3 linked regions of the Caenorhabditis elegans genome follow. The protein of the gene in region 1 purifies or fractionates together with the protein of each later gene. This does not show direct contact. Each region holds a gene or a part of one and is shown in the gene's direction. Other genes may lie near its edges. The genes, in order: dhgd-1, vha-14 and suox-1.

Evidence for each region.
Region 2: the proteins of dhgd-1 (region 1) and vha-14 fractionate together in Caenorhabditis elegans (co-fractionation; one large-scale study listed by BioGRID). This does not show direct contact.
Region 3: the proteins of dhgd-1 (region 1) and suox-1 fractionate together in Caenorhabditis elegans (co-fractionation; one large-scale study listed by BioGRID). This does not show direct contact.

Annotation. Positions count from the first base shown.
Region 1 is NC_003280.10:11,538,646-11,542,400, reverse strand, and holds dhgd-1 (D-2-hydroxyglutarate dehydrogenase, mitochondrial), read left to right. Parts: upstream 1-1,770; coding exon 1,771-1,963; intron 1,964-2,036; coding exon 2,037-2,603; intron 2,604-2,659; coding exon 2,660-3,176; intron 3,177-3,238; coding exon 3,239-3,425; 3' UTR 3,426-3,497; downstream 3,498-3,755. Other genes in the region: gtf-2E2 (Transcription initiation factor IIE subunit beta), read left to right, coding at 38-131, 179-270, 321-608, 1,258-1,575; Y62F5A.9 (uncharacterized protein), read left to right, coding at 3,602-3,755.
Region 2 is NC_003281.10:9,506,064-9,509,818, forward strand, and holds vha-14 (V-type proton ATPase subunit D), read left to right. Parts: upstream 1-2,036; 5' UTR 2,037-2,044; coding exon 2,045-2,091; intron 2,092-2,143; coding exon 2,144-2,261; intron 2,262-2,310; coding exon 2,311-2,458; intron 2,459-2,689; coding exon 2,690-3,045; intron 3,046-3,242; coding exon 3,243-3,347; 3' UTR 3,348-3,694; downstream 3,695-3,755. UniProt on the Caenorhabditis elegans protein: Subunit of the V1 complex of vacuolar(H+)-ATPase (V-ATPase), a multisubunit enzyme composed of a peripheral complex (V1) that hydrolyzes ATP and a membrane integral complex (V0) that translocates protons.
Region 3 is NC_003284.9:15,495,955-15,499,709, forward strand, and holds the start of suox-1 (sulfite oxidase), read left to right. Parts: upstream 1-1,600; 5' UTR 1,601-1,601; coding exon 1,602-1,713; intron 1,714-1,760; coding exon 1,761-1,957; intron 1,958-2,387; coding exon 2,388-2,567; intron 2,568-2,652; coding exon of another isoform or gene 2,653-2,700; exon of another isoform or gene 2,701-2,776; coding exon 2,777-2,938; intron 2,939-2,993; coding exon 2,994-3,218; intron 3,219-3,265; coding exon 3,266-3,476; intron 3,477-3,547; coding exon 3,548-3,638; intron 3,639-3,681; coding exon 3,682-3,755. Other genes in the region: gob-1 (Trehalose-phosphatase), read left to right, coding at 1-71, 118-260, 840-989.

The DNA of each region.
Region 1 (3,755 bases):
AAAATTAAAAAAATATTGAATTTATCGATTTTTTAAGACAACAGCACCAAATTCACACACAACATACTCTTCAGAAGCAGCAAAAGCGAAAAAGAAGAAAAGCTCTGGACCGGCTCAAAATTTGTCGAAACGTTAGTTGTTAAAATGTAATATTAGTTTCTGAAAACGGAATTTTCAGTCCCAGATTTCAATAATTCCGTGAGCAACGCCAATGCGTTATCAAATGCCACAAATTTCAGTACAATGGCGAAAATTGTGGATTATATGAAGGTATTTATATTTTAAAGCGAAATTTTCGAGTTAAAAACAGTTAATTGCAGAAACGCCACCTAAACAATCAACAATGGCCGTTGACACTTCAAGAAATTCTCGATGAACTTCAAATTTTTGATCTTTCAAAAAGAAGTCTTGCTTTCCTTCAAGAAGCATTACCAAACAATCCTCGACTGATAATGGAATCCGAAAAATTCGCATTTCGACCACCTTACAAAATTAAAGGAAAAACTTCGTTGGTAGCTGTCGCGAGGAAACATTATCAGGACGGAAAAGGTGGAATTCTTGTGTCGGATTTGGCTGAGTGTGTGGCTAATTATGATGCACTACTGCAGGTGGGAATTTGAATAATTTATAACAAAAATAAAGTTTTTATTTTTCAAAAATTTCAGCTAAAAATTAGTAAAATTGATTTTAAAATTATCAGCGGCTTATTTTTCGTAGTAATTAAAATTTGAGTTTGTGATGAATTAGATCTTTTAGAATTTCTGAGTATTCAACAATGTGTTTTTTTTTGATTTTCAAATTGAAATAAATTGAAAATTAAATATATAAATTCACAAAAAAGATAAAATGTGTTGAAAATTTATAAAATAAAATTCAGAAATTACTTTATTTTCAGACTTTTGAACAAATTAACGTTATTTTTCAATTTTTACACGAATAATTTTGATCATTTTCGATCCCATAAGTTAAATATTCCACAAAAAAACATTGAAATCGATAAAAAAAAGGTTTGAAAAAATATATTTAATAAAGTAAAAAAAAATTATTACACTTTTCCAGCATAAAACCTTTTTCCTTAAAAAATTTTCAAAGGAAAAACATTTTTGAAGGCAGAATATTCTCATTATAACTTTTCAAAAACTAGGGTATTTAGGGTTAATTTTGATTAAAAATCAGAATTTTTAAATTTGTCAAACTGAAAAAATCAAAGTATAAAAAAGGAGCAATTTTGTGAAATATTAAATTAAATTTTTCCAGCAAGTATCCTCTGAAGTGATCGTTGTTCCGACACAAGTCAATAAGAAAAAGGATCGAGTCGTCTTCTACAATGACAAAGAATTCACATTCCCAGAGCTCGAAGACGATTTCAAAGCCTTGTGGAGACACGTGTCTGTGGATCATTTGGATGAGAAGAAAATCGAAGAATATCTCCAGAAGAAGGGTCTCGACGCGATGAAGGATCTGACGCCGAAGGTTCGAATGCAGGCTCCACTGAAAAGAAAAGCCGCGAAGAGACGGTTCAATCAAAAAGTACAAAACGAGCATATGGACGGAGTTTTGGAGGATTACGAATGATTTTAATTACACACTTCTGTTAACAGTACATAAAATGAACTATGATCATTTGTATCTCTTCTGTCTCTTTTTCTTATCACTGCCCAGCCGTTTGTTTTCTTATTGTTTTCGGCAAATCGGTCACCTAGCCGAGCTTTGTCTCCTACTATTTCTTTTGAAGTTTCAAGTTATTTTTTGAAAAGTTTCTGAATTCAGATGTTTCTGAAAATCTTGCCACGAATCAGAAGACCAACTAGAAGCTACGCAGCAGTTCTTGCCGCCAGACATGAAGGATTTGCAAAAGTGATGCAGTCGGATTTAATGGCATTTGAGAATTTTCTCGGGCAAGATGCAGTGAAGAAGGACGATATTACAAATCATACTACAGATTGGACAGGCCAATTTAAAGGTATTTGTATTTTAAGATTAGGTTTATTTAATATTAAATAGGTACTTTAAATATTAAATGTTTTAATTTCCAGGTCCTGGCAGTGTCGTCCTCTACCCGAAGAGCACCGAAGAGGTTTCTGCAATATTGGCGTATTGCTCCAAGAACAAATTGGCAGTAGTCCCACAAGGAGGGAATACAGGACTCGTTGGTGGATCAATTCCAGTACATGATGAAGTTGTTATATCAATGAATAAAATCAACAAGCAATTCTCTTTCGACGACACAATGGGAATTCTCAAGTGTGATTCTGGTTTTATTCTGGAAGACTTGGACAACAAACTTGCAAAACTCGGATATATGATGCCTTTTGATCTCGGAGCCAAAGGATCCTGTCAGATTGGAGGAAATATTGCCACGTGTGCAGGAGGGATTCGGTTGATTCGATACGGAAGTCTTCACGCACATCTTCTCGGGCTCACGGTGGTTCTTCCCGATGAACATGGAACTGTTCTACATTTGGGATCAAGCATTCGGAAGGACAACACAACTTTGCACACTCCACACCTATTCTTGGGAAGTGAAGGGCAGTTGGGTGTTATCACAAGCGTCACAATGACTGCGGTTCCTAAACCGAAAAGTGTACAAAGTGCGATGCTTGGTAGGTTGAATATTTATATAATGGGTTCAAATTTTTCAATTTCTAATTTTTTTCAGGCATCGAATCCTTCAAAAAATGCTGCGAAGTACTGAAGCTTGCAAAATCCAGCCTCACTGAAATCCTTTCCTCCTTCGAACTTCTCGACGATGCTACGATGGAATGTTTGAAAACGAATCTAGGATTGCACCCAGTACTGAATGCTCCAACCCCATTCTCGATCCTTGTCGAAACATCAGGATCCAATGAAGATCACGATATGGAGAAAATGAGCGCATTTTTGGATGAATGCCTCTCAAAAAATCTGATTATCGACGGAGTGCTCGCTGGATCTTCTGCAGAAGCTACGAAGATGTGGCAATTGAGAGAAAGTGCACCATTGGCGGTTACCAGAGATGGATATGTCTATAAGCATGATGTTTCTTTACCATTGGAAAATTATTATGAATTGACGAATGTGATGAAGGAACGATGTGGTTCTTTGGCTAAAAGAATTGTCACTTATGGACATTTGGGAGATGGAAACACTCATTTAAATATTACATCTGAAAAACACAATGAAGAACTTGAAAAATTGTAAGTTTCGAGATTTTTCTTTTTTATAAAATTTTAATTCTATTAATAATTTCAAATTCCAGGCTCTATCCCTTCCTCTACGAATGGGTTGTCGATCACGGCGGGTCAATTTCAGCTGAACATGGAATCGGTCAACTGAAGCTACCGTACTCCACATTCGGAAAAGATCCTGAAGAACGACTTTTGACAAAGAAGCTCAAGAACATTTTCGACCCAAATGGGATTCTCAATCCGTACAAAACGATATAATTCTAATTCTAATTATTAATAACGCGTGTAACAATACGTTTAGTAGCACAACTGTATAAACATTTGACCCATATATCGTCGGTTCTATTCTCTTTAATTATTTGAGCACCTGTTGAAGGGGAAAATGAATCCTCCAACCCCCAAAGAGCCGGGTCAATTCATCATTCTCCACTAAAATGACGATCCTAATTGTCGCTCTTTTTGCTTCCATTGTAGTATTATGCCACGGAGGTACTGTAGAAACTTCACATCCAGCTTCGGATAAAATTATTGGAAAATATATAGAATTATCAATGAATCTTACGATTCTTCTCGCAGATACTGCTATAG
Region 2 (3,755 bases), on another chromosome or scaffold:
TAGCTTCGCTGCAACGCTTGAAAATGGAGCTGCAAGGCGATGGTCGAAAGCGTTGATATCTTCGTCTGCGTCCAGTATTGAAGAGGCTGGATTGATGGTCGATGGATTCTCCCGAGATCTTCCAGCATGTGGAATTCGAGCTTCAAAGTATCGACGACGTGCGTTATCACCATTTGATAATAGAGTGAATTTGAAAATACAAGGTAAAGAAATTTATATTTATTAGAGTTTCACATTTTTTACTTAAAAATTATAATTTTCAGACGAAAAATCCTACGAAATCCGAGAGCAGTGGTTGATCGAAGCAATTCAATTGGTACTTCTTTCGCTTCCAACTTCAAGACGTCGGAAACTTCACAAATTTGTTACATTCATTCAATCGATCGAAACGAATGCAGTCTTCGACCTCGCTGATCCTTCTAATGGATCTTCCAACAATCGTGAAGCGGTAAGGAGGGGATCATTTTGCAAGAAAACTACTGTCTCGACTCGACAAATTTTTGTAAGATAAGAAAATGTATGAGTCTTTAAGGAGCACTGTAATTTCAAACTATCATTTCTGCCGAATTTTTATGGATTTTAATTAATTATTTGATAAAAATATATTTATCTATTAAAAAACTATAGAACTAAAAAATTAACACCTATATTTCAACACTGAAAATTCTGCAGAAATCTTCATTCGTTTCATTCGACAAAAATTTTTCGCCTCGAGACCGGTACCGTACTTTTGTCGCTATATTTCGTGTCTGTGTAATATCAATTTTTAAATTTTCGATTTCAGGCAATCATCGGACTCTGGACAGGTGTTTGTAGTAAATGCCGAAAGCAACAAGGAATGCTGATTACCGCTGTCCTCCTCGCAAACGTTCAATCTCTTTTTGCTGTTCCTGTTGAATTTATTGAACGGGTCAAACGATTGGAATGTGAAGAAAAGAACACCAGAAGTCGACGTGATTGGCAGCCACCATGTGAGAAATCGAAGAAAGGATTGCTCACACGATTGTTGCGTAAATAGATCTTACAATCTTCGCCCTATAGCATGTATATTATTTATTATATTTTTATTTTGCTCCCTTCCCCCCCCCCCCCCCCCCACTCACCTAATTCTTGTGTCATTATAATTTTCTAAAGTTTTGTGAAATAAATTTTGACGATGATTTATCAATATTTGTTTATTTTCTTCTATGCTTTCTTCTTGGTTAATTCTCCAATCTACTTTTCTTAAAATTCAATCTGTCAGCTTATTTCGGGACATTGAAAATTACGGTACCCGGTCTCGACACGACTATGTTTTGTTGAATACAAACGGATGTGTGCTTTTAAGGATTACTGTAATTTCTTACTTTCTTTTATGCGGAATTTTTTATCGAATTTTCATGGTTTTCGTTAACAAAATATATTTATTTATCAACAAACTGAAATAAAACAACTAAAACACTCAAATTTTGACAAATTGTGAGAAAAACTGAAAAACCCGAATGTAAATTCCACAGCAGCGAAAGTTTAAAAATGCATTACTCTTGCACACCAGTTTGTAATTTACGAAAAATAATTGTCGTGTCGAGACCGGCTACCGTATTTTTTTACGAAAAATTTCGTGTCTAGGTAATATTTATTAACAAACAAGTCATTAATGCTAAAAGAAGTGGAGGGACCGGCTTTTAAATTGCGAATAGTACATTTATTTTAAAATTAGATTTCAAAAAGTTTTGAAGCTGAAATTTTAAAAAAATCGAAGATTAATTTTTAAATTGATTATCCAACCCCTTTAACCTTTTACTGAAAATGATATTTTCTATTGGGATAAAGTTTTATTCCAACAATTCCCAATGAAACATCAAAGATATGCCTTCTTCTCTCTTCTCTCTTATATTTCCACCTCATGACAAGACTTGCAAACTCGCTCTATTGAAAATGCCGTCGATCAATCGGCAGTCATTGGTCTTTTGTGTATTTCTTGCGAACAACCGATTTCGCTCATTTTTGCCATATTTTAATGTTTTTTTCATAGAAATAACAAACTTTTTTTCCAGGTCGAACCATGTCCGGGGGAGGAAAAGACAGAATCGCGGTTTTCCCGTCTAGAATGTGAGTTTTATAGAAGAAAAACTTGATGGAAATCTAAAAAATAACTATTCAGGGCGCAAACCCTGATGAAAACCCGTCTGAAGGGTGCTCAAAAGGGTCATTCTCTGCTGAAGAAGAAGGCCGATGCGTTGAATCTTCGTTTCCGTGACATTTTGAGAAAGATTGTTGAGGTTTGTTTGAAAATTCTGAGGTGAAACGCTAAAAATCAAATGTTTTCAGAACAAAGTCCTCATGGGAGAGGTTATGAAAGAGGCTGCATTCTCTTTGGCTGAAGCCAAGTTCACTGCTGGAGATTTCTCTCACACTGTCATTCAAAACGTTTCTCAAGCTCAATATCGTGTTCGCATGAAGAAAGAGAACGTTGTCGGTGAGTCATTCGAGAATTTTTATTTTTTCGCGCGATTATATTTTCACTTTTTTCCACATTTTAAGAATAAACTATGAGTTTCTTTTGGCGTTATCGAGTTTACTTCTCAAAAAACGATAGAATTAGAACGAATTAACTTAAAAGTGCGAAAAAACTAAAAGTCGTGCTGCTGAATTGCGAGCTGTAAGAGTTCAAATAATTTGATTTTGTCGGAAATTTAACCGTTTTCAGGAGTTTTCCTTCCGGTATTCGACGCCTACCAAGACGGACCAGATGCATACGATCTTACTGGTCTCGGAAAGGGAGGAGCCAACATTGCTCGCCTGAAGAAGAACTACAACAAGGCCATCGAATTGCTCGTCGAGCTCGCCACTCTTCAAACATGCTTCATCACTTTGGATGAAGCCATCAAGGTTACCAACAGGCGTGTCAATGCTATCGAGCACGTTATCATCCCACGTATCGAGAACACTCTGACATACATTGTGACTGAGTTGGACGAAATGGAAAGAGAGGAGTTCTTCAGAATGAAGAAGATTCAGGCTAACAAAAAGAAACTGAAGGAACAAGAAGCTGCTCAAAAAGCAGTGAGTATCGACTTTTCATTTCTGGGTTTCTCACCTCACACGATATTGAATAATATTATCAGAAAAAAGTCGAAAAGTTTTTACAACGGTTTTTCATTTTTCCAAATAGAACCGTCATGAAAGAATTGAAAAATGCTGTCACTACAGTGTACCCATAAGAGACGACTTAAAACTAAAAAAGATAAATAAAATTTCAGTTGGAAGGACCAGGACCAGGAGAGGACGCAGCACATTCTGAAAATAATCCACCGCGAAATTTGCTTGCATCGGAAGAAGATAACTTGCCAGTCCTTTTCAATTAACCATTTGATTTTCTGATTGCCTCACAATGATTTCTGCTGTAATTTTAATTTTTTCGGATTACGGTAGGAACTCATTTGACCACTAGTCTCTTATCATTATTTGTAATCAGATCCCCCTTCCTTCCCCTCATCCAACACCCTCCGATGTTCTTCCTGTTTTCTATGTGGTTTCTTCTCGTATAGATTGACAAACATTCCATTAATTTTCCCGTATGCAAGAACAATCGATTCTGTGAATATGTACTCCAACCATTTTCTTTTAAAACTTAAAAATTCCTAACATTTTCCTGCTTCCATTTTCCATTTAGACTCGTGATGTTATCGTAGTAAAGGTTTGTAAATGAAATCTTCAGTAAATAAGAATTTCCACCGCGGTAAGTTGTTTCCTAATTATTTATTTGTTCAGAA
Region 3 (3,755 bases), on another chromosome or scaffold:
TCCCAACAGTCAATATTTAGTATTAGAAAATTGTTCACCGTTAGAAATTGAAGTATGCGTTCATTCGTCAGGTAATGCTCAATTTTGAAATTTATGATGATGATTTTCGAATTACAGGAGCTGTTTGGAACAAGGGAGATGGAGTTGCTGCTTTAGTGGAATCACTCCACGACTCGTTGAAGGTTGGAAAAGTTTGTGTCGCAGGGGACACCGCGAGTGATGTTCCGATGTTGAAAAAAGCAGCAGACGAGAATCCAGAGGTAAGATTTTGAATTGAGATAGTATGTCAATTGAACCACTATTAGCATACTTTTGAATATTTTTCGCTATCAATAAAACAACAGTGGACAACATCATACATATTAAGAAATCATAAGATCGCGAGAATGCCTACCGTTTTGGCGCGGGAATATCTCGTTGCGAAGGCACCTAAACCACTGGTCATCGCATGTTCTCTGTGCTATCGCTATTTTTGCGAAGTAGGCATTTTCATGAACTGATAGCTTCTTAATAGCTTGCACGTGGTGTCATAATGTCCCAATTCGGTTTGATCTACTTAGATCTACGAAAAACGCGGGTTTTAAGACGCAGAGTTCTCAACTCTGATTTTACATTGTTTAGAACATGATGACGTCACATTTTTTGGCAAAAAAAAATCCCGCACTTTTTAGTAGATAAAATTGTGATGGGAGAGCCTGACTCCACGTGAGCCGCGTGAGCTGGAATAACCTCGTAGACACGCTAGTAAACATTTCTCTTATTAAATTAAACTTGTATTTGAAATAATGCTAAAATGCTAAACACATCAGATAAATTTCTTGAAAACTTATTTTTTCCAGAACGTTCGAGCCTTGTTTGTCAATATCAACAAGCAGCTTCAAGAGAACATCACAAATATTGTTGGAGACGCCAAACGAGTCTGCTTCATCTCTTCACCAGATGTTGCTCACGCTGCGTTCGCCCAAATTATTTCAGAGTTCTCTGGATGAAAAATGAAATTGGATTGTTTCCCAACCATTAACTATTAAATATTAGAGTGGTAGAGAGGTAGAGAACAACGACAACTTGTTGTTTCTCAAATGTTCAACCACCCATCGTAACTTGCAATCAATGACCGCTGGTCAATGGTCAGCAAAGGCGACGAAACCTGTCTCTCTCTCTCGTTTTCTCTACGACCTCTGCTCTCTCTCACTGTTCCTCTTCTCAGTTTCTGCCACGTGACGTTTTTTTTTTCTGATATTCCATTTTTCGTTCTTCCCTCAAACTTCAATTGATTAGAACTGTAAAAATACCAAATAATTCAGTTATTGTTTTATAGAAATCGGTTTTATTAGCATGTTTTTATTGTACCCTCATTCACCAAAAATTCCTCATATTCGAATAATTGTTTAATAAAACTAGTCGGGTTTTGCTTTCTTTTTCCCCCCTGATTCAGTCCACTTTTCAATGTGTTTGTGAACTTCGTAGTTTTTTTTGTTTCAATTTTTTTTCAAAATTCAATTTCTAAAAAAGATATTTTATTTTTCAAAGTATTGTTTGTTTTTCGGCAATCTTGATATTTTAAACTAATAAGTTTCAAAGATTTTGCAAATTTTTTCAGAATGCTTGGCCGGGGCACATCTTTCAATCGGTTTTTTAGACACCGGCGTCAGTTCAACAAACTTTCGGGCGCCACTTCAGAACATCAGAGGACTAATGAAAATCACTCTTATTGTAGGGATCTACCACGAAAACTTGAAAATCTATTAACTAATGTTTAGACAAGTATGCATATATTGGAGGAGCCGCAACTGCTGGAGTGCTCGGATTCAAACACTTTGTGAAAACTGCAAAGCTTGATCACGCCAAAGATGAGACGATGTCAGAGAAGAAATTGGAGAATCTTCAGATATACAAGCAGGAGGAGGTCAAGAAACATGGAAAAGACGCAGACAGGATTTGGGTTACGTACAAAGATGTAAGTTGATTATTTTCAATTAGGACTCTTATGTCGTCCCCGAAAACACCCCTCTCACGCCACAATCCGAAACCTTTATAGCGATGCGCGGAACCCAAAAAGCGTCGGACGTGGAGTCAACTTTGCTACAAATAGTGTCATACTCTATGCCACTGTTTGGTGCAAACTCCGCGTCCGACATTTTGTGGGTTCCGCGCATCGCTTTGAAAATTTGAATTGCGGCGTGAAAGCGGCACCCACATGGGAGCCCTAATTTCAATTATTCAACTGTCCAGTTTTGGCTGACTGGACAAAATGTAGTTTTGTGACTTGGTTACAGGTTTTTAAGGACTTTTTTCGAACGCTTAGAACATTTCAAACTACATATATGCGTATTTCCAAATTGATGCTTGTTTATAAACTGGAATTAATAGTTTTCTTATTTTTACAGGGTGTCTATGATGTCACAGATTTCATTGCCATGCATCCGGGAGGTGACAAAATTCTGCTTGCCGCCGGTGCAGCTGTCGACCCATTTTGGGCTCTCTACTCACAGCACAAGACAAAAGAGGTTCTCGAGATTCTCGAAGGATATCGAATTGGCAAACTTGATGTAAAAGATGTTCCGAAAGTAAGTTCATGGAGTAGAAAAGAGGTGGCATACAATCCTTTATTGTGTGATTTATGAAATTCTGGTAACAAATTTTTTTGTTTAGATTGATTTTGAAGATTTAAGTAATGTGAGTTTGGTTGATTTTAATTAGGGTCCGGGTACAAACGCACCCAAAATATTGATCAATTTATCCTCTTATCTCACCTATGTTTGTGTTTGTTTTACAGCCAGTCGCTGACGCATTCTCCAATGATCCGGAACGTCATCCAGCTTTACTCGTGCGTAACTCGAAGCCCTTCAATGCCGAAACCCCTCCTTCCCTGCTTACCGACCACTTCTACACACCCAATGAACTGTTCTTTGTACGAAATCATCTTCCGGTTCCTGATGTATGTGAAAAGGGGTTGTGTGTGTAGTGAAGTTTTACGCTGGATTTTTTTTTAGATCAAAACTGAAAACCATCGATTGACTGTGGAAACCATCAAAGGAAAAACAGTGGATTTGTCTGTAGAGGAGCTCAAGAAGAAGTACAAGTCATATACAATTGGAAGTGTGATTCAATGTGCTGGAAATAGAAGAGCCGATATGAATCAGTATAAGAAAGTTCAAGGACTGATGTGGGAAGGAACTGCAATCAGTAATGCCGAATGGACTGGAGTTCGCTTGAGAGTAAATTTGAATTTTAAAATATGAGATATTAATTAATAAAATTCAAGGATCTTCTCGCTGACGCAGGAATCGACGTTTTCGACGACAAGATCAAGCACGTCCACTTTGAAGGAGCAGATGTTGATCCGACTGGAACACCCTACGGAGCATCAATTCCCATTGAAAAGGCTCGTGGAGATGAAGTCATTGTCGCTTATCACATGAATGGAGTTGATATTCCGAGGGATCACGGAGCTCCTCTGCGGGTCATTGTGCCAGGTACAACGGTTTTAACATACTTTTATTTAAAAAATTTTTTCTGATAATCGTTAATAAAAGAAGTCATTCAGGTAATGTTGGTGCTCGACAAGTGAAATGGCTCAGAAAAATTATTGTTAGTGAGAAGGAAAGTGATAGTCATTGGCAGCAAAAAGATTATAGGTTAGTAATAAATCTCCAGAACCTACAAACCATCCAATTTCAGAGCATTCTCCCCAGCTGTCAACATTGGTGACGAGCTGAAGTGGAACACAGTTCCATCTATCCAAGAGTATCCTG